Linked DNA regions of Chlamydomonas reinhardtii. The protein of the gene in region 1 interacts with the protein of each later gene in a pairwise test. Links are inferred from orthologs where the notes say so. Each region holds a gene or a part of one and is shown on either strand. Other genes may lie near its edges.

What was found.
Region 2: the proteins of CHLRE_03g197350v5 (region 1) and CHLRE_17g697350v5 interact in binary tests that used the Arabidopsis thaliana proteins (3 or more experiments, as listed by UniProt). The link is inferred for Chlamydomonas reinhardtii from reciprocal best matches to the Arabidopsis thaliana genes CDC5 and MOS4.

Annotation. Positions count from the first base shown.
Region 1 is NC_057006.1:6,669,900-6,684,273, forward strand, and holds CHLRE_03g197350v5 (uncharacterized protein), read right to left. Parts: upstream 7,127-14,374; 5' UTR 6,907-7,126; coding exon 6,865-6,906; intron 6,775-6,864; coding exon 6,671-6,774; intron 6,395-6,670; coding exon 6,226-6,394; intron 6,114-6,225; coding exon 5,944-6,113; intron 5,844-5,943; coding exon 5,669-5,843; intron 5,539-5,668; coding exon 5,485-5,538; intron 5,372-5,484; coding exon 5,177-5,371; intron 5,036-5,176; coding exon 4,799-5,035; intron 4,635-4,798; coding exon 4,092-4,634; intron 3,935-4,091; coding exon 3,750-3,934; intron 3,625-3,749; coding exon 3,513-3,624; intron 3,384-3,512; coding exon 3,222-3,383; intron 3,086-3,221; coding exon 2,732-3,085; 3' UTR 2,465-2,731; downstream 1-2,464. Other genes in the region: CHLRE_03g197300v5 (uncharacterized protein), read left to right, coding at 1-1,708; CHLRE_03g197400v5 (uncharacterized protein), read left to right, coding at 7,631-7,641, 7,792-8,032, 8,193-8,513, 8,629-8,922, 9,081-9,384, 9,565-9,739, 9,906-10,105, 10,271-10,428 and 2 more; CHLRE_03g197450v5 (uncharacterized protein), read left to right, coding at 13,271-13,516, 13,706-13,900, 14,069-14,196, 14,364-14,374. UniProt on the Arabidopsis thaliana protein: Component of the MAC complex that probably regulates defense responses through transcriptional control and thereby is essential for plant innate immunity. Possesses a sequence specific DNA sequence 'CTCAGCG' binding activity.
Region 2 is NC_057020.1:166,893-181,066, forward strand, and holds CHLRE_17g697350v5 (uncharacterized protein), read left to right. Parts: upstream 1-6,563; 5' UTR 6,564-6,653; coding exon 6,654-6,919; intron 6,920-7,113; coding exon 7,114-7,312; intron 7,313-7,578; coding exon 7,579-7,687; intron 7,688-8,091; coding exon 8,092-8,132; intron 8,133-8,369; coding exon 8,370-8,513; intron 8,514-9,035; coding exon 9,036-9,188; 3' UTR 9,189-9,665; downstream 9,666-14,174. Other genes in the region: CHLRE_17g697334v5 (uncharacterized protein), read right to left, coding at 500-655, 904-1,112, 1,380-1,586, 1,802-1,889, 2,056-2,313, 2,553-2,687, 2,954-3,051, 3,220-3,362 and 8 more; CHLRE_17g697406v5 (uncharacterized protein), read right to left, coding at 12,484-13,904, 14,101-14,174. UniProt on the Arabidopsis thaliana protein: Component of the MAC complex that probably regulates defense responses through transcriptional control and thereby is essential for plant innate immunity. Involved in mRNA splicing.

The DNA.
Region 1 (14,374 bases):
TGCATGGCTCACCGCCTCCACCTCCACCGCTCCCGCCACCTCCGGCATCGTGCACCTGAATGTCACGACCGCAGCGCTGGCAAGGCTGCAGAGCATTTTCACTGCCAACTCCGCCCGCCTCGCCGCCGTCAACTGGACTTCCACCACCTCCTCCAGCGCCAGCGCCAACGCCACCTCCGGCTACCTGCCCTCGGTCTTCCTGCAGCCGCTGGGACGCTCGCTCGCGCTGATTGGCTCCGTTATCTCCAACGGCCTGTCCGCCATCGGTGAGCAGCTGGACAACGCACTGGGCAAGGCGCTGCTGTCCCCTCCACCTCCTTCCACGCCTGGTGCGTTTCCCTCGCCGTCTTCCTCCAACGCCAGCTCCACTGGCTACCATCGCCGTGCCATGCTGGCAAGCAGCAGCACCGGCACCGCCACAACCTCGGCCCTCAACGCCACGGCTCAGGTCAGGCAGCAGCTGGTGAACCGCCTGCAGAACATCACCGACAAGCTGACTGGCGCCGACTCCAAACAGTACACAAACGGCGCCTACTGGGGCCCCATCGCCATTTACGCCGCCGTCATCGCAACCTGCCTGCTGCTGGGCCTTGCAGTCTTCCTGAACTGGCCCGGCGGCCTGGTAGTCCTCTTCATGATCCACCTCTTTGTCTCCGGCGTCGTGCTGGCGGCGGCGTGGGGCGGCGCGGCGAGCCTCGTGGTGGCACACGACACGTGCGGCAGCGCTGACGCCATTGTGCTGTCGGAGGTGTCGCCCAACTCGGCGCTGTTCCCGCTGGTGCGCTACTACTTGCAGGGCGTAGGTGGCTCGCTGCCGGCGGTGCTGCGCGCCTCCGGCCTGGGCGACACCTCTCGCCTGTCTGCCGCCGCGGCGCTGCTGCAGACGCAGGTGCTGGACCCGCTGCTGCTGCCGGCCGACCCCTCGGCTGCGGCCAACGCCACCAACACGTCATCGTCCGCGACCACGCAGTGGCCGGGCAGCCTGGGCAGCGTGCAGTACGGGCTCGGCGGCCTGCTGGCTGACTTGTCAATGGCGGCTGCGGACATGTCAGCCCACCTGTCCGACCTGCTGACTCTGGGTGAGCGCGCCGCCGTGCTCAATGTCTATTACGGCGTCACCAGCTGGGCCTGCTGTGGCCTGGCGAGTGATGTCATGATTCAGTGGGTTACCGCAACCGGCAGCGGCGTGCTTGCGTGGGCCGCGGCACTGGTGGCTCTGCTCATCCTGAAGAACCTGGACGACATGCCCGGTGGCGGCGGCGTGTGTGGCTGCACATGCTACCGCATGAAGGACTTCCCCCGCCCCGTTAAGGGCCGCCGCGCCGGTGCCAGCAGCGGCGGCGGAGCCACCGCCACTGCCGCTCCTGCCGCTGTTGCCTACGGTGCGGATGTGGAGCGTGGCAAGGGCGCACCATACATGGCGCCTGCGCCCATGATGACGACGCCCCAGACCAAGGGCAAGGAGGTAACGGTCGAGAACGGCCTCTTCCATGGGCCGCCGCCGCCTTCGGAACCACCGATGACGATAGTGCTGGGCGACGGTACCGCTGCGACGGGCGGCCACCGCCCGTCCATCAATGTGTGTGTGATGGACCCGGAGACGGCGGCCGCATTCGGGTTGAACGCCACCTCGGATGGCGGCGCATCCTCTGCGCCATCCGCGCCTTCTGCACCGCTTCTACCTCCGCCCAACGGCAGTGGGCGGTGATACATGCATCACAGTAGCTCTAGTAAAGAAGCATGGAACGTAATTGGTAACGCTTAAGGTTTTGGGGCGAGGTGATGTACAGCAAGCAGGGGTGTAAGAATGGAGGTACAGTAGCCGCTGGCCGCTGCAACATGCGGCCAAACTAACCACATGCCCCATCAAGGACTGTCGGCCTATGGGCCGATCAGCTTTCACAAAGGTGCACTCGGACCAGGAACTTGGGATCAACAGGGTCAGGCAGGGTGGAAGTGGTAATAGGCAATATTGCAGCGATGTGCGCCGTGAACACCGCCGACAAGGTAGGATAAAGTTGAGTGTCGAGCGGCTGGCACGAAGATGGGCGACTTGGGGATGCACATGGTGCTGGGGGCACGTGGCGGGAGTGGGTGCGGGCTTGCGGCGGGGCTGTCCCGTGTGCTGTGTGCACTTGCACGTGGACTCAGGCGACCCCAGGCTGCGGCTGCCCGTTGTGGGGGCGTGCGGTTGGCGGGGCACGCGCATGAAAGAGGTTGTGCGGCTCTTTTGTCCGCGTGCATGGGGGCGGTGCAAATGGTTGGTATGTTGTGTGGCCCGGGTCAGGTGACGGATGAGCGTTGTAAGTGCAGGTGGCAGGACGCGAGCCTCCTCGGACTTAACACTTCCGTAGCACGATTGGAATGAGACCACTCCGACTGTTCGCGGGTTTCAGTTGTTTACGTGACGCATCAGTAGGCTGTACTGCTGAACAACATGTTGACGCATGTGCCCTCTTGCTTCTCGCTCGGCCATTTACAGGACACTCCAGCATGCACAGGGCGCACCTTGCATGTCCTAGTAGTCCAACTGCCCGTACCCCGCCGAACGCATTGCCGTCAGCACTCAGGCGAGCATACACCAGGCCACATTGCCACAACAGCCTTCCAAGCTGCATTCCTTAACACGCACCCGCAACCGGCTGCTCTATGGCGCACGCCCACCAAACCAAAATGCCCACTCTCGCCATACCGCCCGACACCCCACCGCCCGCTATCACGCGCCCGTGCCTCACGACGCCGCCGCCCGCTTCTGCGCTAGTGCCGCCGCCAGCTCGTCCCGGCGCCTGGTGAGCGCCTTGAAGCGCTCCTGCAGGTCCACCTCGCGCCGCTTGGTAGCGTCCACCAGCTCGCCCAGCGCCTCCAGACGCTCGGGCGCGGCGCGCAACTCGCGCTCGTGCAGCGCCTTGAAGCACACCAACTCCTGAGCTGCGTCGCGCACCTGCGCCCACAGCTCGCCCACGCGGCCTGTCAGATCGCCATGGCGCCGCTGCAGGCCACCAAGCAGCAGGCCCAGCTTGCCCTCCAGCTTAGCCGCCTTCTTGGCCTCGCGCTCCATGTCGGCGCGCACGTTGTCGAACTCCGACTGCAAGACGTGAAGGGTCGCACGGGAGTTAGCGCGCGCTGCGTGATAACTGATAAGCTGGCTTGCCTGAGAGGTTCAGGAACGTGGGAAAACCGCCGCTACTTTGCCCATCTTCTGACGCCTTCCCTGGCCCCACCTTTAGCGAGTCGATGCGGTCCACGTTGGTGGCGCTGGCGGCGCGCTCGTAGCGCTGGCGCGATGGCAGGTAGATGAGGTCGCGGTGCACGCTCATCCACACCTCGCTGTAGTCGTCCGGGCTCAGCTTGGCATGGTCCCAGGCGCTGCGAAGGTAAGCCACCTGTGTCCAGGCGCGATGATGAAGGAATGCATATATCAGGGTCTGGTAGCGCTTGTCTCTTCAGGGGATTTAAGATTGCCAAGCTAGCCCCATCCACATAACGCTTCCAACCGACTGCACCACACTCACCTCCCTGTCCACCAGCTCAGCCGCCGACTGCAACGCCTCCAGCTCAAACTCCTCCAGCACCGGCACCGGGCCCGGAGCCGCATGCTGCTGCTTGCCCTTCTTGCGGGCGTCCCTGCACAAACAGACACCACAGCAGCCGCCACCGTTGCCAAACAGTTGGCGGCAGCACCATGGCAGATTCAGCAGTGCCCCCTGCTGGCGGCATCAACACCAAGACACAAGGCCCCAGCCACGCACCGGCCATCCTTGACTGGGTACTTGGCAGCGTCGTGCTGCAGCAGTCCGCGCATCTCAGCCGCCACCAGCTCCTCAGCCCGGTCCCGCAGCTGCTCCGCGCTAGCGCCCGCAGTGCTGGGCGCCGCCGGCTTGGGGGCCGGCAGCGAGTCCAGGTTGAGCGGGCGGGGCAGCTGCCGCTGCAGAGCCTGTGAGCGCAGGGGCCGCAACCAAGTGCCATTAGGTAATGCGAATTACAACTGGGCCCGTCTTCATCTTCCTGCCTGCTCCAAGCACCCCAGCACTTCACTCTCGTGGGAATGGTGGAAACAACCCCGCCATAACCAGCTCGAACCCAGCGCGCACCTTGCTCTTCTTGAGCTCCTCAATGCGGCGGCGCTCTGCCTCCTCCCGTGCTTTGCGCGCCCGCACGTCCGCCAGGTCCTCCTCCATGGCGTCCTCCGCCTCCTCCTCCGCCTCAGGCAGCTCAGGCACCTCGAACGCGTACTCATTCTGCGGCGTCGGAAGCCCCGCCAGCCGCTCCCGCAGCTCGCCGCGCATCACCGCTGCCCGCGCCGCCGCCGCGCGCTTGCTCATCGCTGCCTCCATCGTCAGCGCGTCCGCCTCATTGAGGCCCAGCGCGTCGCGAATGAGCGGCGTGGCGCCGGGGCCCACACCACCGCTACCCGCCCGCAGTGGCGTGCCAGCGACGGAGGGCGTGGCGGAGACGCCAGCGATGGAAGGCACGACACGCGCGCCGGTGGCGCCGCCAGCGCCGCGCACAGAGGGCGTCATTCCGGCGAGTGGGTTGGGCGTGGCGGCAACCACGTTGCGCGGCGTCACACCAGCAAAGTCCATAGCCGCCACGTCCACACCCGCCTCTCCACCCTCCAGCACCGTGCCCATGCCCTGCGGACACACATCTTGGAAGGTAAGCGGCCAGCGACAGCCGACACTTGACCACATGGGAAAGCACTGACAAACCCTTGCTGCCCCCGGGGTAACTTCAATGCAAGTCACGAGCCGCGGGCGCTACTTCCCAGCGGCGTGCCATGGCACGATGCCCTGCCCACCTGCAGCCTGGCCAATGCCGCCGCCTCGGCCATGATACGGTCGCTGCCACCAGGGCCCGCGCGCGGCGTGCGCATGGGCGTGGCGCCCGGCCCCATGCCCAGCCGCGCCGCCGGCGTCTGGTTGTACTGACCCAGCAGCGTGCGCGTGGCGTCGCCGCCTGCGCCCTCCGACACACTGGCCTCCAGAGCTCCGTCCACGCCCAGGCGGGCGATCTGCTCCAGCTCCGCCTCGCTCACCTGCGGCGAGTTAGTTCCAAGTTGGTCACTCCAGGGGCCTTTGCACCTTATCATCCTAGGGGGCTTGAGGTGATTGCAGCCAGCGACTGCAAGTATCGAAGCCACTACGCCTCAAGCCGCCACCCGCAGCTGTGCACGCACCTGCGGCGCGGGCAGCATGAGCTTGCCGCGGCGGCGCGGCCCCTCCTGGTCCAGCCCCATGTGCTTGGCCACGGCATTCGGCGCGTCATGCATCTCGTTGATCTTCTGTCGCTTGACGTCCTTCTTGATCAGCGCCTCCTCAATGTCCTTCCGCCGCCGCCCCTCCAGCTCTTCCACCGTCACAGGGCGGAACTCCTGTTAACACCGAGAGCAAACAGGGTGTCACGGACCGTCCTTTCGGTGCACCGCCCGGAAAGTATCATTGGCTTTGCTCCCGCAAGGAATGTGCGCGCTGCCGGTCTCCTTACTTGCTGCATGGAGCGAGTGGTCTTCTCCTCATCCGCAGTCGAGTAAAAGCCGGCCTGCGGGGCACACAGCGAAAGGGGCCACGCGTGTTAGGCCACCGTACCAGCAACTGCACACATGGCAGGGCAACCGCCAACCTAGCATACCGCCGCTCCGCCGCGCCCTGAACGGCTCAGCCATGCCCACCTGCGGCTTGAGCTCGAAGGCGACCTCGCTGCTGTAGTCCACGGCGCGCGAGTTCTTGTTCCGGGCGCGCACGTCAATGCCCGCCGCCTTCAGCTCGCGCTTTTTCTGCAGCTGCGCCAAGCGCCGCGCCTCCTCCAGCTGCTTTTCACGAGCCTTGCGCTTGGCCTTCTTACCACTGCGCACGTGGCAATGCAAGTTGTATACAATGTCAGCTCAGGTGCTGGTGCTGCCACCATCATGCTAGCATCACACCCTTGGCACCTACGCCCGCGCACCGTGTGTTGGCCAGACGCGCGCGTGCCTCGCTGAGCATCTCCTTCTCGTCCTCGTCCATGTCCACCGCGTCGGGGCGCGCGGGCTTGGCCTCGGGGTTGGGGTCAATCTCACCCGGCCGCAGCCGCCGCGGGTCATCACGCGGATCGTAGTTGACGTCCTTGGCGACGGCCTGGATGGGTGGGCGATTGGGTGGGTGGGATCCTGTTCCATTTTCCGCATCCCGGCTCCCCAATCCCCACCCCCACCCTCGCCATGGCCACCCCAGCATCTCGGCTCCTCACCTGGTCCAGCAGACGCTCGTATCGGTCCAGGCACTGCGCGGGCGTGCGGCCCACGATGGGCGCGATGGTGCGCCACTGGCACGGCATCAGCTTTGCCAGATGCAGCAGCTTCTCATCCTCCTCGCGCGTCCACTCCGTCTTCTTGATGGCCGGGTCCAGCCACTCGTACCTACGGCGCAGACGTGCGATGCCGCGTGAAGCTAGGTCCGTCATACAGCCGTGCAGCCGATGTGACAGGCTGTGCATGCCCTGTCGACACGGCGGGTGGACCCCACCCTGCACCCGCCCGCATCTACCCCTGCTTGCGTGTAGCCCTGTCCGCCGGAGTGGGTACTTTCTAGTCCCGTTCTACCAAAGCAGCAGCCATCGGTGGGATAACCCGTTGGCAACGCCGTAGCCTGCCGCTCAGCAACCCCGCCCCGTAGCCCGCCGCGCCTGTGCTCACCAGCGTGCTTTGCACTGCTTGGCAGACTTCCGCACCAGCAGCGACGAAATACGGGCCCACTGGTTGAGCCCATACTTCATCACTGCCGCCTTGAGGATTTCATCCTACATGCAGCAGCACAGAAGCAGAGTTCGAGCTCGCCTCCACCCACGGAAGATGTCCTCGCTAAAGACCGCACTGCGCCGTGTGCGCACCTCGGTGTTTTTCCAAACACCGCCCTTGATCATAATCCTCATGGCAGCTGTCTGTTACTATAAAAGCCCGGCGGGCGCGCGAGATGAGCCGGCTCGGCTCACAACGAGGCCCTATAGGCCGTCTCCTATCGGCCCTGCTGGCCGTGTGTGTTAAACGATCAGCAGGGCCTCAAGTTGCGGTCAAAGGTGCGTCGTCGGGGCGAGGATCCCAGCGCTGTCGTGAGAACTCGTAAGTCAGGGGTGCAGCAGACTGAAAGCAAAGTAGCTTATTGCTTTGGTTCAAAGTACATGAAGATGGGGCACAACCGGCGATTTCCGAGGCGCTGCATGGGACTCGGCCAATTCGCTCGGACCAACTAGGCACCAGAAGCTCTCTGCACTGCTTGTTTACCGGTACCATTGATTACATTCAGGACCAAACAAACTTGGGCGAACTGTAAGTGGAAAACATTTAGGACCGAGCCTAATTTCCCAGCTAGCGTCAATTAATGTCTTGTTATACTCGAAGCGCATTAATTATGAGGTAGGCAGGGCCGGAGCGTTTACTGGCGCTCCCGCTCCGTCTCGAACGTGCACGCCAACGCTCGCACTACAATAGCTCAACTGTGAGAAACATATCTCCATGAAGTTACAGTGGAGGGGGGCGACCCGCCTGGTCGCAACACTCCTCATCTTCGTGGCGGGGACAAACTGCAAGCTCGCAAGTGCAAAGGCCAGCAAGCCAGCGGACGCCCAGCCAGCGGCATCGGAGCTTTATGAGAGGGCTATGGCGATCAGGTGGGTGGCGAAGGGGCACGGGTTTGCACAAGGGACACGATCTCCACACACATTGCCACGGGCGTGTTTTGTCACCCACCTGCAGCCAGACCCTTCAGGTCTTGTTGTGTGGCGTGCCACGTGGCCGACTATGCCCATACTCTACTGCAGATCTAAGCGCGAGCTTACTTGGGGCGAGCAGCAGAAGGCTGCCGAGTACCTGGTTACCGCAGCAGGCTTCAGCAGCACCTCCCACGGCCGGGCATTCCCGTTCAACGGGACAGCCGATGCGGCCCGCCGCGGTGCGGCAACAGCGCCCGATGGGCTGCAGCTGCCGGGCTATGGTGGATCTGTGAACATTTCTCACACCGCACACCGCGGAGCAGTTAGGGAGCTTGCCAAGGCGTTTCTGGTAGGTGCGGGCTCCAGCGCCCCTTCGACTACCGTAGTTTCAGTGTTCGCCCTGCCAGTTGCCGCCGTCCGGGCGCCCACCACGCACCCGCTTGACACCGACCCGCTCCATGCGGCTTGCAAGCAACTTTGCACCCTAAAGCTCTTGCATTATTCTGCAGGACGGCTCTGGCGTTTCCCAGGACATGCGCCTGGCGCTGGAGCTGTTCCGCAACGCGGCGGAGGCGGGCGACGCGGAGGCACAGGGCCACATGGGGCTGTGCTACAGCATGGGCCTGGACTCGCCCGACTGCTGGACCGCGGACGGCATCGTGCGCTTCGGGCCTCCCAAGCCCGCGGAGGCGCTGTTACACTACTATTTCGGGGCCGCGGGCGGCGACATGACCAGCCGCATGGCCATGGGCTACCGCCACCTGACAGGGCTGGGCGTGCCACGCTCCTGCTGGAGTGCCGCGTCATACTACCAGCCCGTGGGCGAAAAGGTAAGGGGTACACGCGTGGGGTTGGCCAGGGTTTGGCTTGGGTGAGCGCTAGGACGGAATGCGAGCTGTATTGAGAAGCAGCTGCAACCTGATCTTGGTTGGTGTGCGTCCGCAGGTGAGCGACCTGGCGGCGGCGACCATGCCGCCGCCGACGACTCTGGAGGACGACGAGCCGGCCGACGATAGCAGCAGCGGCGCCAGCGGCGGCACCAGCAGCAGCGCCGCAGATGACTCCATCGCGCCGGAGCTGGCACCGCCCTCCGGGAGCCTGCCACACGTGGAGCGCATCCGGCTGCACCTGCAGGCGGCGCAGGGCGGCCTGCGCAGTGAGCGGCATCGAGAGGTGGTGCAGTACTACCAGTACAGCGCGGACCGCGGCAACACCGAGGCGCAGACGGCGGTGGGGCAGGTGAGCGGATTGAGGTGCCGGGTGCGCAATGCGACCTCTGTACGAGGAAGCGTACGGTACGTCGTAATGTGATGGGAGCGCGTGATTTCGCATACTTAGTTCGGTATCCACCCCTTCCTTTTTCTCCATGGCGTCAAATTCATCCGCCCGCTCTCCAGGTGCTCAACTACGGCACGCACGGCGTGGACCGCGACCACGGCGCCGCGCTGGCATACTTCAAACTGGCGGCGGCGGCTGGCGACGTGGACGCCATGGCGCACCTGGGCGCAATGTTTGCCAACGGCTATGGCACGCGGCGCAGCTACGAGCAAGCGGTGGACTGGTGGACGCGCGCGGCGCGGCGCAACAACGCCAACGCGCTGTTTGGGCTGGGCTACCTGTACCTGACGGCGCGGGGCGTGAGCCAGGACTATGACCGCGCCTTCCAGTACTTCAGCAAGGCAGCGGAGCAGGTGCACGCAGGTGCGGAGCGGGAGGCGGCAGCAGGCGGCTGGTGTCATGGGCTGTGGCAGGAACACGGGTGGGCGCGTTGGGCTGCCGACGTTTGAAGAGATACGCTTAAAGTATGCTTTGCCGGCGTGGCGCACAACGGTGTGGACCCCTCGCGCCCGCTCGCTGCTTGCATCCCCCTGCGCCCGACAGAGGCCCGGCCCGACGCTCTGTTCTACATGGGTGTGATGCACCTCAAGGGATACGGGGTGCGGCGCAAGAGTGTGCAGCGCGCTCTGTCGTACTTCACATTGGCGGCGCACGCCGGCCACAGCCTGGCGCAGTACAACGCCGCCATGATGCACCTGGCGGGCAAGGGCACACCACGGTGAGGAGCAGCCCCAGGAGAGGTGTACCATGCACGGCTTTTGCGGGAAGGAATGACGCGACGGTGTACTGAAGAGCTTCCTGAGCGGTTGCGGGATCAGGAGCTCCATGCTGGTCTGCATGAGTCCACATAGATGCTGGTTGCTTGTCCATCCACCCCCCTGCAGCAACTGCAAGCCTGCCGTGAGCTTGCTGAAGGCGCTGTCGGAGCGCGGCCCAGCCGCCTCCTCCGTGCAGCAGGGTCATGAGCACTTCTTCCGCGGCCGCTACGGCCTGGCGCTCCTCAGCTACCTGCGTGCCGCCGACCTCGGGATGGAAGTGGCACAGAGCAACGCCGCGTGGATGCTGGAGCGAGGATATGCGCCGGGTGAGGCGGGCTCCTGCTGCCAGCCTGCCACCGTCGTGCTCCGGGCGTTGGACGACTGGGTGCACTTGCATGCCAGTCCTACAGGGGTACTTCGGGTGGTTGCAAAGTGCTAGCCATCCGCACTGAGGCGCCACTTGGCAACCTAATCCCCCCTACCCCATGCAGGCCTGGGCGCCTCCGAGCTGGCCTTCTCGCTGTACAAGCAGTCGGCGGCGCAGTCCAATGTGCACAGCCTGCTGTGCATGGGCGACTCGTACTTCTACGGCCGCGGGGTGGAGCAGGACTGGGTGCGGTCGGCGGCGCTGTACTACGAGGCGTACCAGGTGCGGACCTGGAAGCGCTGCGCCGTTTTACGGCGTCCGCATGTTACGTCACTGGCTCATGCGTACCGCATTGACACCCACCCCACCGTTCCTCCCCGTTTCCTCCACAGGAGCGCTCGGCTGAGGCCATGTTCAACCTGGGCTTCATGCACGAATTTGGCGTTGGCGTGCCGCAGGACCTGCAGCTAGCCAAGCGCTTCTACAACATGGCCAAGCACACGCAGGTGCGCTACCACCCGGCTTGAGGTTGTCAATCGAGGCATGAGTCTGGTGGATAGATGGCCCACATGCTCGCGGTCTGTCGCCCACCAGAGCCGAACTGATGTGCACAACCTCTTGCGCAAGTGCACAGACGCTAGCATACGCGTTACTGCCGTTTGCTGTCTCTACTTGTCCGCAGGCGGACGCGTTCCTGCCTGTGGCGCTGGCCAATGCCTGGCTGCAGCTGCACGCCTGGTGGGACAAGCTGCGTCCGCTCCTGCCCTCCACGCCCTTCTTGGACCCCATTTGGAACTCCGTCTTCGCGCTGCACCCGCCGCACACGAGCCTCTTTGGGCCTTGGGTGGCGCGCGCGCAGCGGCTGCTGCCAAACCTGGCCCTGTTCCAAGCTGAGGTAGCGTTCTGGCGCTGGATGGACGTGGCTGGTCTGGGTGCATTGGGTGGGGTGCTGCAGCTAGGGGATGCAGGCGAGAGCGTGATGCTGCTGGCGCTGCTGGGCGGTCTGGCGCTGGTGGTGAGGCTGCGGCGGCGGCGCGCCGAGGCGCGGCAGCAGCAGCAGGATGCGGCGCGTCTGCTGCTGGCGGCGGAGGCGCAGGCGCAGGCTATGGTAGCAGCGGTAATGGCGGGAGGACTGGGGGTGGAGCCCGGGCGTCCGGTGCCAACTGCGGCGGGCGCGCCAGCGGCGGCGCGCGGCCAGCAGCCGCCGGCTGGAGAAGTGGCGGCTGGAGAAGTGGCGGCACAGGCGGTAGGTAGCACGGCGGCTGGAGCTGCGGGCACAGCGTACGGTGCGGCGGCTGCAGAGCCGGCGCAGGACGGCAGCGGTGCTGCCGGCGCTGCGCACTAGAGTCTCATGCTTGTCTTTATTTGGCTGGTTATCAGCGTTGCAAGAGCAACCTCGGTTTAGGCAGGCACGCAAGTTTCGGCGGGATTATTGTGTGGAATCCTTGGCGCCCCCCTCAAGCCTTGCGCTTGTACCATACTGGCGCAAACAAGCCCAAGAAGCGGCGCAAGCGCGCAGGCTGAGGAGCCGGCTGGTGTCTAGGTAGCGGTCCGCGGTGGGGCTGGCAGGGCATGCGTAGCGGCATGACAAGTAGTGCGGCTGTTGACAACTGTGCTGCGTCTGGCTGCGGTTGGCTCTGCCGTGGCATCGCGATTGCTAGGCACCTGGTTTGGCTATGTGCCTGTGGAAACCGACCCCGGCTATGTCCGGGCGATGAGGTTGTTCGGCCTCAGACTGTGGAGGGGCTCAGCCCCTTTTCCCGTGACCGGGGAACACTTGTTGTGGGGAAGCGTGAACTTGGCTCGTTGATAGCCTCAGTCACCCCTAGGCCCTAACTTGATTCTTGCGTGTCACCCACCGTGCCATCACCCTAGAGTAGAGGCTCGAGTGTCTGAACACTTGCGGAACAGCAGGATGCGTGACGCTTACAGTTACAGGTCAGCGGCATGATTATGGACATAGCGTGTCAGGGCAAGAGTCGCAGAGTGGGTACGGTGCGTGCCAGGGGTTGCCTTTGCTACCGGTAGGTGCGTAAGGTTACGGTATCCTTTTTGTCTCCACGGTGGATGGCGGGAGGCCGGGAGTGCTGGGTCCTAGGCTAGGGGGAGACGGAAATGGACACGAGAGGAGGGGCACAGGCGAGGCGGCAGTGCGGCACTGGTCGGGAGCGGCTATGAGCAGCGATGCGCACACCGGGCGCATATTTAGGGCTTTCATGCATCGCAGACAGCGCGACATTATGACGGGGAAGGAAGTATACCAGGGAAGGTGTGGGGGAGGGAAAACCGGATGACTCTTCGTCGGGTCAGAACCGAGCTGCGTCGGGGTGCGGGGCTGCGGGCACAAGGTGCAGGTGTCCTGTGCGATTCATCTTGGTGGGCGCGCGGTACGCTCAGGGCGCACGCCTGCACAGGAAACGCAGTGTGTCAAAAATATGTAAATGTTTTGATACGATGTTTTGATACAATATTGCATGCGGTGTGTAGGCCCGGCCAAGCGAGGGGGACAGAAACGAAACTTGTCAGAGCACTTGCGGCAACAGACCCCAGACGTAGGCGAGTCGGCCCGATAGTTGCTACAATGAAGTTGAGTTAGCCTGAGCTTACTCAGGGAGCTCTGTGCGGGGAATGCCGCTCCCGCGACCGTGGAGCCTGAGCGGGCAGCGCGCAGCGCTCGCAAAACGCGCAGCCGAGCAGCACTGGCTGTTTGACTTTGAGTCACATCGGTGCTTGGAGCTCGCCAATGAGGAGCTCGACCAGAATGGCTCGCTTCTTGAGCGTCGGCACTGCACGGTGCACATGGTCCAGCCGCATTCGCTCGAGGAAGGCGTGCGCCGGCCCACCGGTCAGTTTAGGACACCAGTCTAGCCGCTGAACCAGGACGAATGTACCGCCCGCAAGCCATTCATGACCCCATTCCGAGCCCCATAACAGCACTTGCACACAAAGCAAACTCTGCGACCCTGTGATTTGTGCTGGGGGCATTTAGGCAGTGCTCGGGGTGTTTAGGAGCTGGCAGGCCCGGTAAGGCCCTCGACGCAACGGTTGCACACCACCGACGCTCCTTTTGCTACCCCCCACCTCCCTCGCAGCCGACCGCTTTCCTTGCGTGGTGTGTACCCGGATGGCTAAGCCAGACGCTCCCACGCTGGCAGACGCGAGCCTGGGGCCGGACGGTGCTGTGCGGGTCGTGGAGCAGTCCCTGAACGAAGTCCGGCAACGGCGCTGGTACGTCACGAAGACCTGGTGCCGCGACGTCCGGCGGGCGGCGGGCGTGCCGCCGCTGCCTCTGGGCTCGGACCACTACCTGTGCGAGGAGCACCTGGAGGAGCACCTGGCGTGGAAGCAGTACCTGCGCCTGCCCATCAAGGTGGGACAATGGGTGCTGGTGTAGGTTCTGGTGTAAGCGTAGGGTAGGTGTAGGTGTAGGGGGCGGATGGCCCCGCAGGATGGCCCCTGCGGTAGCGTAGAGCGAGCGGCAGGAAGTGGCTAGAGCAAGGTGCATGTATTCAGTCCTCCAAATGCCGCCGATGACCCGGGCTCCTTCCATCCTGCACAGGTGCGGGACTGGCTGCACCGCGGCGCCTGCCTGCATTGCGCCTTCGAGTGCGCCGGCGAGTCGTCGCCGCTGGCCGCTGGAGCCATGCCGCTGCCGCTGCCGCCGCGGCTGTCGGCTGCGCAGGCGGATGAGCTGCAGCCCGCGCTGGAGCCCATGGTGGAGGCACTGCTGTACCCGGCCGGAGTCAGCGAGCAGGTGAGGCCGGAATGGGTGGGTGGGTGGGGGTGGGGGGGGGGGGGGCAAGGGCAAGGGCGCTATGGTATATGGTGGTGTACTGTCACAGTGAGGTGGTGGTCTGAAGCCGCAGTAAGTGCGTGTGGAGCTTCGTGGATGTGCGAACAGCAATCACGCACTTGCATGCAGGAGCTGGCGGCTGCTGCGGCCGGCAATGAGGTGCCAGTGGTGCGGGACGTGACGGAGGACAGCGCCGACAAGGGCGGGCTGCCGGGACTGGTCAGCCTGCCGCTGCGGGGACGGAACTGGTGCAAGATGTGAGAGTGGTAGCCCTGGGTGGGGATGGCAATGAGGCGGTCAAAAGGTCTTGAGCGACTTTCTGGGGTGTGCCCAAAGATGTCGCACAGCCCCTCACGGCGCAACTGTACCTATCCCCTTGCGGTGTAAAGAGCTTAGCATTGACCCTCTACACACACACTCACAGGTGCGGCGGCA
Region 2 (14,174 bases), on another chromosome or scaffold:
GCACGTCGGCACGTGCAGGATCGCCAGGGGCTCAACCTCGTTCATCCCCATGTGCGACGCCGCAACAACGAGTGCTGAGCCCAGCCGTGCCTGCATCTCTGCCAGGAGTGTCGCCGTGTGGGGGCGCGTTGCGGCTGGCGGCTGAGCTTAGCGAGGGGTGTGCAATGCAGAATGCGAATCGCGCCTGCAACGTGCTGGCGTGGATGGGCTATGGTTGTGGCAGCTGGCCATGCATGTCCTCACCGGCCGCAGCCGTGCAGCTGCTTTCACGCGGCCTGCCATCGCCTCACGCCGCACCATCAAATGTGCGCCCGTGGCCCCCCTCCTGCCTCAAGCCTAATCCCAGCCCCACACCTGTGAGCCGCTGTAGCCACACAGCTCAGCCCTCATCCGCTCACCGCGCGCCGCCACACGCCGCATCGCCGCCACCGTCCACCGCAGTCACCACCACCTCCCCCCCTGCCCCACTCCTCCATCCTTGCCCTGCTGCCCCCCCCCCTCACGAGTACATGTAGTCCTGGCCGCCCGGCACCGCGCTCCAGCTCTTGAACACGTGCACGTCCGTGCACAGCTTGCGCATGGCCTCCGTCACGTGGCTGGACACCAGCAGCCCGTGCACCTCCAGCCCCATCTCCTCGTGCGCGCGGGAGATGGCCTGTGGTGCAGCAGCAGCAGCAGCAGCAGCAGCAGCAGCAGCAGCAGCAGCAGCAGCAGCAGCAGGGGGGGGGCGGGTTGTCCTAGAGGGCAGGGACGAGGTCTGGGCCAGGAGGGGCGGCACCAGGTGGCGTGCACGGGTCAGAGCGGGCGCCAGGAGGAGCGGACACCGCATGGGGGCGTGGACGCGCTGCCCCGCCCTGACTGCCTGGCCAGCACAGCTCCATCCCCCTCCACCCGCGCCCCCACCTGTATGATCTTGTCGTCGGGGTTGGGTATCTCGCCGTCCGTGACCATGAGGATGTCCGCCTGCGCCCACTCCGCCTTCGCCAGCCGCTCCAGCGACAGCTTGAGCGGCGCGTCCACGTCCGTGCCGCCCATGAAGCTGCAGGACAGGAAGGCCAGCAGCTGGTCCAGGCTGTCCACGTCCACAGACAGCTGCAACTCCTGGACCTCGTCTGAGGGGGGCGGGGCGCGGGGGAGGGGAGGGCGGGTGGAGCCGGTGGAAGTAGTTAGCGGGTGGTAGGTGTGCGCCTGCAAGCTGGAGCCCTACAGGCAACACACACAAGTCGTACTAGCGTGTCGGTTGCCCACAGTCGAACCACCAGTATCACGCCCTGCCCAGGACCAGCCGCCCCGCCCCGCCCCACTGCCATGCTGTCCTTCCCTGCCCTTTGCTCGCTGCCCTGTGCGCCTCCGCGCCCGCAGCGGCCCGCGCCACTCACTGGGTCCGGAGAAGGCGTACAGGTAGCACTGCCGCCGCTGCCGGTGCGCGCCGCGCAGGCACTCCAGCGCCAGCGCCTTGGCCACCGTCTCGCGCGCTCCCCGCATGGAGCCCGAGGTGTCCAGGCACAGGATGATGGGGCCCATCTCGGCGGCGGGCCGGATCTCCATGCGGCTGGTCACACGGGCCGGCTCGTCCTCCAGCCAGCCTGGGGGAACGGGGAGGCGTGGGGTGGCGCGGGTTGCAGGTAGTGAGGCGGTCTGGGACATGATTACATGCCCGAGCCCAGGGGCGGGGACTGCAGGTACGGACAGTATGCCGACGGCGGTGATAAACAGGCGCAGGGGACGCGGGGGCGGGGGGGGGGAATAAGAGACACTACAGGCGCCCACGCCCACGCCCACACCACGCCCACGGCCCCACCTGTGCGGTCGTAGCTGAGCAGCATGCGCTCGGCGCGCCGCACCCGGTGCAGGCGGCGTGCGGCGTGCGCGCCAGGCAGGTAGTACTCCTGGGGGGGAGGGGAGAGGGGTTATGAGATTCTCGTGTGTATGGGTGGGGGGTCAGGGTCCGTGACAGGGGAAGGCGGGGCTCTGTTTTGGGCCGGGTGACCATTGCATGACCATTCGGATCTATTCTTCGGCCATATATCCCCCGCCGCCCCCCCCCCCGCTCACCTCCAGGTCGAACTCGCCGCTGCTGACGGAGGCGGAGGCGGGGATGTGCGGCTCAGACCCGGCCGCGTGTGGCGTGCCGGACCCGGACCCGGACCCGGACCCGGACCCGGAGGCGCCCGCCTGCTGCTGCTGCCGCCCCGCGCCTGCCGGTGCGGGCTGTGTCTGCGGCCTGCCCCTGCGCGGCCAGCCGTGCGCCAGCAGCGCCATCTCACTGGGCAGCATGCGGCTCAGGTCGCCGGAGCGGGTCAGGCCGCGGACCTGCAGCGCAGGCAGGGTGGGAAGGATGAGGGGGGGGGGACGTGTGGCTGTTGTATTTGGGTGGGGCACGAAGGCAGGGGCAGGGGCTGGCAGCTCCCACCCACGTGTCACCGGAGGAATGCAACAGCCCCAGAGCCCCACCGGCGCCACCAGCCCCACCGGCCCTCCGGCACACCCAACGAACCCCAACCCTCCTCCCCCTGGCCTACGCCCCCCCTCCCCCCTCACCACCCCCTCACCTCCTCGGGCTGCAGCGGCGACCTGATGACACCGGGCGGGTAGCCGCGCGCCTCCAGCTCCTCGGGCGCCCGCCGCAGCGGCCCCTTGCCGCCGCCGCGACCTAGCTGCCGGACCAAATCGCGAAGCTCAGGAACCTGAAGGGGGAGGGGGGGGGGCGTGTGTGTGTGTTGGGGGGGGGGGGCAGTCAGGAGGGGGGCGTGTGGGGGCGTGTGCGTACATGGGCATTGTGGACTGTGCTGCGCATGTGTGTGTCAAGGATGCATATCATACGCGCTTGTGCACATGTTGGCTTTGCAGCCCTATGTCATTGTGCGGGGAATTTCGAGCCTTCACGGGTCACCACCCCAGTTTGGGCTGGTATTTACAACCCACACCGCACCCACCCCCCGCCCCCGCCCACCTTCTCCAGCACCTCCCTCAGCGCGTCCAGCTCGCGCCAGCCGCTGCGGCGCCAGGTGCCGCGCGACAGGTCGAAGCCCTCCGCGCTGTCCAGCAGAGCTGCAGGCGCAGATGCGGGTGTGTGGGGGGCAGGAGGGGAGCACCAAGGGAGAGGGTTGACACCGTGAGTAGTCCGTGTGCTGGGGGGGAGATTGCCGTGTGGTGGCATATGCTGCATGGGTGCACAAATACACGCCCTTCCTCCCTCTCCCTCTCCCTTCCTCTCACAGTTGAGGTCGTCAAAGGCCATCTCGCCCGTCTCCAGGTTGTCCATCACCTCGCCCATCTTCGCCTCGAACTGCTTCACAATGTCCTCGGCAATCTCCTCCAGCTGGGCCGACAGCGCCTGCTGAGACTCCGAGTTCTGCTGCCTGCAAGGGGGCGGGGCGGGCGGTAGGGGCGACGAGTAGGGCAGCCATTGGACGTCAAGCAAGGTCAGTGAGGATGCGGCGAGCTGGTAGGCGGTCCAGAAGTCCGTACGTCCTCCTTCACGCCCCAACACACCAGTGCGCAATGCCTAACCCAAGCTCCCACCTGCACCCTACACACCCTTTGCCCCGCACACACACTCACTGCTTGGCCTCGCCCTCCATGTCCTGTGGGCGTTTGTGCATGCGCGGTGGTGGGGGCGATGGAGTGGACACACTGCCAGTGAGGCGGTTGAGAGCAGGTGGCCTTGCGCCGTGTGGAAACCAGTGCGTCAGGCACGCCCACATACCCCCTCCCCCTGCCCCCTCCCCCCACAGCTCACCTGCAGGCTGATCTGCAGCTGCTTGCCCTGCTGCTGCTGTTGCTGCTGCTTGCTCTCGTTCTTGGTCTGCTCCATTGCCTGTGAGATGAAGTGGGGTCAGATAAGGACACGCGCGTTCGCACACCCGCACACATGCTCGCGCACACACAGTCACCTCTTGCATGCACACAACGGCAAACGCCCACACACACCCTGCCCATACACACACACCCACGCCCACACCTCCTGCATCATCTGCTGCAGCTCCTCCTCGTTGATCTCCTGGCGTGTGAGGGGAGGGAGGCAGCAGGCAGCAGGCGGGAGGGGGCAGGCGTGTGGGGGAGGCGGCAGGCAGGCGGGTGGGGGTGAAGGCACCCGGAAGCGAGGTAAGGCCCAGCTGCTCCATCGCGTATTGCGGCCAGGGGTTGTCACCCTGCGACTGCCACCCGCTCCCTGCCCTGCAGCCCTTCATGCGCAGCACGCAGCACGCGGCGCACGTTTGCACACACACACACACACACACCATTCCTTTTTGAGCACACGCACGCACGCACGCACGCACACACACACACACACACACACACACACACACACACACACACGCACACATACACACATGCACGCACGCACCATCTCCTCCGGCGGCGGCGCGTCGCCCTGCTGCGGCTGCTCCGAGCCCCCGCCGCCCGCCGCACTGGCCTCCTGGCTCTGCTGCTGCTGGTCCTGCTGCTCCTGGTTCTGACTGCCCTGACTGCGCTGCTGCTGCTTCTGTTGCTGCCTGCAGATGCCACAGCGGCCACAGCATCAGGGACACATGAGCCACCACCATTGGGCGCCGCGGCACACATCGCAAGGGTGCCGAGGGGCGCTCAGGACTAAGCGACAGGCACACACGTTCAAGGACGATGCCTTGTGTCTATAACGGCGCCTAGAACGGTGGACGCAGGACGCAAGCGGCCCGGCATAGCACAGAGCTGGCCCGGAGCACACCCCCTAGGCTGTCCGAACCACACCTGCCCCCCCCCCCTTCTGCCATCCCTAGCACACTCACTGCTGCTTCTGCTGCTGCTGCTGCTCCGCCGCCGCCAGCTTCTCCTCAAACTCGCGCGCCAACCCCAGCATCTGCTTTATGAGGGTGTCCAGGATGGCGGGGTAGCGCCGCGTGAAGCGCGGCATCTCCATGTTGCGTAGCGCGTCCTGTGGGCGGGCGGGTGGGTGGGTGGGGAGAGCGTGTGCAAGCGCATGGGGCGTTGGGCTTGGAGTTGGGCTTGGGGGTTTGGTCGGTCGCGGGAACAGATGCGTGGGGTAAACGTGTTCCTTGGGAATAGGTTTCCCCTGCCTCTTCTCGCCCCCCCCCTGACCCTCGCCGTGGCCCCTCACCGCGAACTTGCTCCTAAAGGGCTCCTGCGGCCATTCCAGCTCCTCCATCTTGGGCAGCGTGCTGTGGGGGTGGGCACGTGTGCATGAGGGGGGGGTTAGGCGGGGGGTGAGAACCCTGCAGCAGCAGCAGGCCTCCAGGGCCGCGCCTCAAAGGCGGGTGCGGGTGTGTGAGCGGACCAGTCAGGACAACCCGGTGCTGCGGCGCCAGCCCGTCTCGCACACGCCCACGAGTGTCCGCGCAAGCGCAACTCCCCTCCGTATCCTGCACGGACTGTCCCTCCCGTCCTCCAAGTACCACCGAACGCCCTCCCCCACTCCCATTGTGTTTTGTTTAGTTTGGGCTAATACTTACAATCCCCCATCCCCTCCCCCCGCCTCCTGCTCACCCCCTCTGCAGCGCCATCTTCCATGCCGCCAGTGCGTCCGCGCGCGCCCTCAGGTCGGTCATGCCGCGTGTGCCGGGCAGCTCCAGCAGCGACCCCAGCATCTCCTCGCTCAGGCTGGCGCGGTTGGACCAGTTGGGGCCCAGCAGCCTGCGGAGGGGGGGAAGGAGGAGGAGGAGGAGGCGGGGGAGGAGGAGGAGGAGGAGGAGGAGGGATGGGGCTCGCTTGAGTCAGTGGGGGACGAGGCAAGGGGAGTGGAGGAAGAAGGGAGGCGGGGGGCAGCGCTGCCATACCAGTGGGAGGTAGCGGTTAAACCCTAAGGCTTCACGGGTACAGGGAAAGCTTATGCAGGTTGCGGTAGTCGGGAGACTTGAGAATACAGGCGCACGCTGTCAGCCTTGTCGGCCCGCACTGTCTACACAGGAGGCTGCGGCGGGCCTTTCCTGCTACCTGCCATCGCCACCGCTTGCTGCCTCCGCCACCGCATCCGCCACCGCCTCTGCCCCCTCTCCCCCCGCACTGCTAGCCACCGCCGCTCCCCCGCACTCACTCGAAGCCGAAGGTAGGGCGCTCCGGGTGCTTGGGATCCACGGAGCGCACCCGCACCGAGGAGGAGGACGAGGAGGGCCGACCCAGGGGGCCACCGGGCAGCGGCTGGTGCGACGCCGGCGCCAGGCCGGGCCCGAAGCCAGCAACACGCCTGGCGCGACACGACCCGCTGCTACCGCTCCACTGGTGACACGACGCCACCGGCCGCTGTGAGCGCCCAGCGCATGATCGTGCGCCTGGCTGAGCAACCTTGCCACCTAGCAATGCCATTTCCCGAACCGGCCCTAGTAAGCCCGACGCGCGCAGGTCCGGGCAAAATAGGTTTTTCTGTTTAGCAGTGCTGGTGAATGACGTTAGGTAGCCATGCCTTCCAAGAAAGAAGCACTCACAATATCAATTAGGATTTGCTTCGTGTGTTGTGGAAGTTTTGGCCAGAGGGGTTGTCATGAGCACCCGAGCCCAATGCATCAGGTTTGCAAAACGGGACTTGCTGAATCCGCTATCTGACTTATTGCATCAATCGATAGAATGACCTACTAGGACCAACGCCTCGGCTGTGCTTTGAACCTACCGATCGCTTCTCGGACCCAAGCTGCTTGGCGAGGAACGCTCTGTTAAACATGGCTGCCAAGACGTCACAAGCAACTCTAGCACTAGAATATACTGCCCATGGCGCCGCCAAGGGCTGGCGAGCGAATGAGCACCTTGTCGACGCGCTGCCCTATGTGGACTCGGTGCCGCCGGAGCTAAAACCTCATGTGGAGGCCCTCATAGAGGAGGAAAAGCGGAGAAGCACAAAGCTCCCCAGCGACTACCTGCGCGAGATGCCCTCGGTCCGCGCGCCAAAGTTCGATGACCACCCGGTCCTGAAGACCGAGTACGAGCGGTGAGCAGCTCGGCAGCGAGGAGGCTCTGCAGGCTGATGATGACGGGCCCGGGGGCGGGGACGGGTCAAGCCAGGCTACGGAAGGAAAGGGACGGGCTGGGGGATGTGGAGGGCCACCGCCACGGTCCAGCTCCTCCCCTCCCACTCACCACCCACACACACAAACCCCCTTTCCCTGCCTCCGTGTTTCACAGTGTGCGCAACAAGGAGCCAATGGCGCCGCTGGATTCTGTTCGCTACCGGCTGGAGCCGCCGCCGCAGGCCCGCCGCGGCGACGTGGGCGCGTGGAAGTCCTCGCTGGACAACGCGGCGGCGCAGCTGGAGCACCAGCACCTGCGCATCCTCAACCAGGAGCTGCTGCTCAAGTATGGAGACAAGGCCTGGAGGGCGCAGGTGGGGCTGGGGAAAGGGGGCGGAGTGGCTGCGGAGGAAGGGAAGGGGGAAGGAGGGAGGGGTGCGGTTAACGGATTAAGGGGGGACGTGGACAGGGGCAAGGGCAGGGGAAGGGAGGGGGAGGGCTGAGGAGAGAGGGGTAGGCGCGGGGCGGGGTGGAGAGAGCTAGCTGGTGCCACCATCCCTGGATACGCCGGCACTGTCGGCATTCACCCCTGCCTGACCCACCCCACCTCCCGGCGGCTTGGCGCCCTGCTGCCCCGCAGGTGGCTCTGGACGAGGCCGCGGTGCGGGGCCTGGAGGCGCAGCTGGCGGCGCTGCGCAAGGAGACGGACGGACTCAACCGCGAGCGCAAGCTGCAGCAGCACGCCGCGGGTGAGCCGAGATGGCAGAGGGAGGGAGGGAGGATGAGGGAGGGCGGGAGGGAGGGAGGATGCCGGAGGGAGGGGCGAGGGCGCAGGAGGGGCAAGAGATGCAGGAGCTGAGCGTAGGGTCGAGCAAGGGGATTGCATGGTCAGCAGGGAAAGCGAGGAGAGGCTGGTCACCAAGCTTAGGAACGGGGGGAGCGTGCTCACGGTACTGGGCGTGCAGCAGAGTAGAGGGCAGCAGGGCCGCACCGCGGGCGCATCATGGCAGGGGAGGACGCGGGTAGGGGCCGTGGGCGCGGGTGGATAGGCCGGACCGGAAGGTTTGCGGTCGTGGCGAATGCCGGCCGGCGGCCCCCTCCACTCGCTCGTCCGCTCACCCTCAAACCCCCTTTGCCCCCCAATGCTCTTCAGGTTCGGAGCTGTCCAAGCTGGAGCGCCAGTACCTGAGCCAGGTGCGGGGACGGCGCTGGAGGGAGGGGGCGCGGGGGCGGGGGGAGCTGGGGGGGCGGTGCGGTGCGGCGGTGCATTGAGGTGGTGCTGGGACGTGTCGGCCGCGGGCCGAACCCTGCCGGGCAGGGACTGGCCAGCACCGCCCATGCTCACACGTGTAGGCTTGGACGCCCCCATTGATTGCCCAGCCATATGCCTAAAGCCCCCGTGCCCTGCCGGCCTGCCATCAATCCCCCCAGGTGCGCAAGAACGCGGACATTGAGCGCGCCTGCGACCGGCTGGAGGACGCGGTGGCGGCCATGGAGGCGGAGCTGGACACACACATCCGGGCTGACACAGGGGCGGAGGCGGAGGCGGAGGCGGGGGCGGCGGAGGGGCAACAGGTGCGGCGGCAGGGGATGCGGCAGGGGGTGCGGGACTTTGACACATGACGAGGGGCGATGGGGCCTGGGGGCTGGGGGCCGGCAGAAGGGTGCGGGGCAGGCCATGTAGGTGGCGCCAGGGCGGCTGTGGGACAGGGGCTGTAGCACAGGGACTAGCTGTGGGACAGGGGCTGTGGGACAGGGGCTAGCTGTGGGACAGGAGCTGTGGGACAGGGGCTGTGGGACAGGGGCTGTGGGACAGGGGCTAGCTGTGGGACAGGGGCTGTGGGACAGGGGCTGGGGGACAGGGGCTGGGTAATGTAGTGCCCGCAGTCGGAGGTAGGTCCGCACGCACTGGGTACTGGGTGCTGGGTCCACAAAGCGCTGTGTGCACATCCTTCCCAACCCTACCGGCCCGGTGCTACCTGGGTGTTGTGTGTGCCTGTGCACCCAGTGCGCCACATGCTCATACGTACATACGCGCCAAGCTGCTGACCCCCCCCCCCCCCCCGGCTTGGTCCCCCACAACGGCTGCGCCTGCAGGGCCCCGGTGCGGCCGGGGAGGCGGAAGCGGCGGGCGCCGACAAACCCGCGGCGGCGGCTGACGGCAGCGGCGACACGGACATGGCGGACGGCGCGGCGGCGGCCGAGGGCGCGGCAGCAAACGGGACACACGCGGCCGGGGCAGAGTCGTGAGTGAGAGCACACACGTGCAGTGCCGCGCTGTAGGGGCGGCCGGGTGTGGTTGTGGGCGCGGCGGCATGGAAGCGTTGAGGCTTGGCGGTTGACTTGAGGCGGAGGGGGCCGCTGGGTATGCACTGGCGACGCGTGGGGCGGCATTGTCGTTCGATGCTCGGTGGTGGTCATCACGCACGACGCCGCTTTCGACATGTTCAGACAGAGGCGGCGGCGGTTGGGGTGGTTGGCACGCACCGAGGCGCATGGGTGGGTCCGCGGGTCCATCCAGGCCACAGCTGCAGGCGGTGGGGCGAGCTACACGGCTTGGGGCGTCGTCCTCAGGATAGGGGGGCCCTGTGTGTGTACCGGTGCCGGCAAACAGGCAGGCACCACACACGAATTGGCCTGCCTTGAGTGTTGCGGTGTACATGCCGGGGCGCTCGGGACTGTGCCCGGTTGCCGAGTGTGACAGGAAGCGTGTAACGTGGGACTCTGGAGGGTTGCATACCTGGTGCACCGCTGACAAGGATCTGGATTGCTCACCCTGGCCAGAGCCGGTCACACGGGGCACATGGCGCACATACACGTGCATCGGACTGCCGCCGGGCTGGGGGGTCTGGGGGGAGGGCCTCAGCATTAGGCGCAGTCGGACCTGGTCGAGCCTGCCGTAGTGGCGTAGTCGTATGTCCGGAAACCCGGCCGGCGCAATGGTCGCTGCGGTGTTGCTCAGCCCCAAAAGCCGGGGAGCCCCTGCCGGCCTCGGACAGCCCCGCGTGACAGTCTCAGTATATCGCACGCCAGGGCCTCCGCGCGTGTGTCGGCGTGCCCCGACCCAACGTGAGGGTGGCAGCACTCACTACGCTCTAACGCGCCGCCGGCACCAGGGCGAGTAGGGGGCTTCGTCGTGCCAGTCACACTGCACGGTAGCGTAGAGTTGTGGAGGGATGCTTGACTTGCCGTAGTTACCGTATTGTTACAGGGTCGCCTGCCGTGCCGCAGCAGCTGCAGTGCTGCGCACGTCACGGGGTGATCCCAGCGTCAGGCACAGCGCTGCCGCGGTCGCCGCGCCTGTCGGTCGCGGGGCCCTGGGGCGCCCACGTGCAGTCACACACGTCCAGTCACACACACACACACACACACACACACACACACACACACACACACACACACAAACACAGATACGCGGTACAGCGAGCGCGTGCTGCACGTCGCAGCCGCTGGCTTCCGCTGACCTGCTGCCTGCACGCCCCGCCTGCCTCCTCCTCAACGTCCACATGTCGTCGGCGACACCACTTAACCGTCATTCATGTCGCACACACAGATACAAGCACACGCCCCCGTAGGGCTGCGCTCCTGGGCGCCAAGGGTGGCTTCGCACAGCCGCGTGTAAACGCGTCCGCGCTACCTTGTAGCTCGTCTGCCACTCCACACCGCTCAGCCCCTCACACGCATACACATCCACCAGCCCCTGCACAGGCTGCCCTGCTGCTCATCCTGTGCCGGCGTGCACCAATAAAAACCTAACCTGAGGCTGGCAGCACCCATTACGCGCCTACAGTACACGGCGTCTGCTCGTCTGCTACTTCTGCCCGCATCGCGAGGTAGTTATACTTGTGCGTGTCACGTTCCTGTCTGAGGGTATTAAGTTGGTGATCTGTAGCATTCTAGTAATCACACGAGCACACGAGCACATAAGCACACAGCAGGCGCCCTGGGCTGCGCCGCCGACCCAGATCAGACCGCCTCAAAGCATTCTTCACACGCGCGGACATGCACACACGTGCAAAGTGTTCCCGCATACTCCACTCAACATGTCATGGTGCGCGCGCTGTGCAATTATTGTGCCGCCGTAACGCCGCCACAATCTTCATGTGGCTGCTTCACAGCCCCCTCACACAGCTCCATTCCATCACGTCAATACTCCTGAGCGTGTCAACTTGTCATGAACTCGATCGGCGTTCAGACTTCCTCTCAGGGCCTTTGCCCTGCCCTGATTCGCTTCGTCAGTAATAGAGTCTGATCTGTATGACCCAGCAGCATCATTAGGACTTCATCTGTTGTCGTGTGCGGGCCTTGCCCGCCTAAGGGCGGCTATACTGCACCGCACTAAACTCGACTTGGCCAATTGCCGCATCATGTGATCTCTCATGCAACTGGGCCACTTTGTGTCCTACCTGCCACCCGTCGAGGGCCCCACTGCTCAACTGTTGTCTGCTCCGGCCCCCACTCGATGTGTGCCACCTGCCTCTCCTACTGCCTACCTCCGTCTGCCCCTGTCTTGTCTCCAGCTGCTGCCAGCAGATACAGCCCACTGCACAGCTCAGCTTGCCGCAGGAGCGGCCGCAGCGCCCCACCCGGAAAGCTCATCTGTGCGAGGTTTGCCTCCGTGCTTAAAGCAATTCATCCAAGCCCACGCCCCGCAATGTTCAGTCGTCATTTAAGTAGTATGGCACACGCACACGCACATAGACAGAAATAAACACAGTTACCCCAAGTACACGCACGTCTACACTGCTGTTGTCACGGTTTGTAGTCAACCTAAGATCAATGTTAAGCGGCATCCAGGCGCGCAAACGCCTGTCCGCTCGCTTTCAGGACCCGCATCCGGAATTGAAACGCCGGCCAGCCCAATCCTCCTTCGCCAAGCCTAAGTTTAAGCCTAAGACTATTCTGAAGCATGGCAACATACGGAAGAGTGAAAAACGTGCACCGCACAGGGGAACAAAAAGCGCACTGGAAGCGCAAACGCGCAGGCACGCAACGCGCACAAAGGTGGCGCGTGCGGTAACGCCCGCCCTCTGTTAACACCAGGCCCAGCAACCCAGGAAGGTGTGCCGGTGCCCCGGTGCCCCGGGGTGCAGCGGCCACAGCGCCAACACGGCGCGTGGCGCACCGGCCCCGGTGACCGATGACTCCGTACATGAGTAATAATGACTCTGCTCCGCAGATACACGCATGTCCTTTTAGCGAGAAACACCTGAAAGCTATCGTAAGGCCGTTGAAGGGTTGCCCACAGCCGCCTCTACCATGGCAGCAGTGGTCCTCCTCCTCCTCCTCCTCCTCCTCCTCCTCCTCCTCCTCCTCCTCCTCCTCCTCCTCCTCCACATGCCGGCGAGCCCCCGCGGCGGCGTAGGAGCAGCCCCTGTCCTCCCAAGAGTGCTCCCGCACATCCCTACGCCGGTTACACCTGCCCCTGCCTGACCTGCAGCTGCTACAGCCCCTGTTGCTTCTGCTTGTGCTTATTCTCCAGCTGTAATCGCTGCCCCTGCTGCTGCTGCTGCTGCTGCTGCTGCTGCCACCGCCACGCCAACTGCTACTGCTGGGCCGGCCGGTCCAGGTCCGACAGCGGCTCCTCCACCACCTCCATCATCAGGTCGGACCGGCTCGGCGCCACACCCGCAGCCAGCTTGCCAGCAAAGCCCGGCGAGCGCCGCAGCAGCGCCCGCAGCGGCGGCAGCACCGCGCACCGCACCACATCGCCGCGGCCAGACAGCGTCAGACCAGTGGCGGAGGCGGCGCCACCGGCCGCCGCCGCGGCAGCGGCAGCGGCAGCCGCAGCCGCGCCCGGCCGGCGGTGCGAGAAGATCACGTGGAAGCGCGGCTCACCGCCATTACCTGCTGCTGATGCTGCGCCCGGGGCCGGCGGCTCCAGCAGGTGGGGGTGGCGCAGGCGCTGCAGGTAGCTGACCTCGTGTGGGGCGGCGGGGCCGGCGTGTGTGAGCGCCACGCCGTACGCCGCCAGCACCACGCAGTGCGGCAGCGACAGCAGCTGCGCCAGGGCCAGGTTGTCCAGGCCGCCGGCAGCGGCGGCGGCAGCAGAGGAGGCGGAGGAGCCGGAGCAGGCAGAGGAGAAACAGGAGGAAGAGGCGGGCGGCGCGGGGTAGGAGCAGGTGGAGGTGGAGGGCTGCGCGCCGCCGCGGCGGTAGGAGCCGTTGCCGGCCTGGCCCTCGTCCTCATCACCGCTGTCCGAGTCCGAGTCCGAGTCTGAGTCGGAATCGGAATCCGAGTCAGACAACGAGCAGCGGGACGCGGCCAGGGGCCGGCGGGGCCCGCACGGCACCGCCACGCTGCTGGCCGCAGTGCCGGCGCCGCCCATCGCCATCGTCGCATCGGCGCCAACGCCCGCCCCCCGGGCCTGAGATGCGACGGCAGACATGGGCGTCGGCTCAGCAATGGCACCGGCGGCATCCGCATCCGCCGCTGATGCTGGCGCCGCCGGCACCGGCGACGGCGGCGCGCGCAGCGACAGCGACAGAGCCGAGGTGGTGCGCAGGCCCGCCGCCGCGGCCGCCGCCTGCTGCACCGCCACCACCCGCCGCTCCTCCTCCGCGCGCTGCCGGTTGGCACGCGCCGCCGCCAGCAGCGCCAGACACTCATTTGCACCCAGAGGCCCGCGGGCAAAGTGGCGCCGCATCAGCTTCAGCACAGAAGCCGAGTTGCGGCAGCCGCCGCCGCCGCCGGGAGCGGCGGCGCCGCCCCCGGCGGCTGGCGGCTCCTGCGGCGCCGCCACCAGGTTGCCAACGTGCAGGAGGTTGTCTGTGCGGAAGTCGAACTTGTGTCGCGACAGGAGCTCAAGCAGGGTGTAGTAGGCTCCGGACAGGTTGGACACCACGAACACGCGGCCCGGCTTCAGCTGCTCAGCCGGCAGCACCAGCGGCGCCGGCAGCGGCAGCGGGGGCATAGGCAGCGGCGGCTGGGGGGCAGGAGAGGCAGTGCATTCGGCTGCGCCAGCGCCTGTGCAGGAGGAGGCGGGGAACGGGAAGAAGGGGAGGTGAAGCCGTGCAGGGAGGGGGTTAGGGAGAGGTTTGCCAACGAGTGCGCCTGACGCGTTACTGCGCGCGTCGACCAACCGATACACGGGGCTATTTATAATCATCATGTCACTAGCAAGGATCGGAGGCACGATCGCACCCGGGCTAAACTCGCTTACCCGCAGATGCCTGCTGAGCGGCGGACTCCGCCAGGGCGTGGGCCGCAATCCGCAGAGACGACACCGCGTTCTGC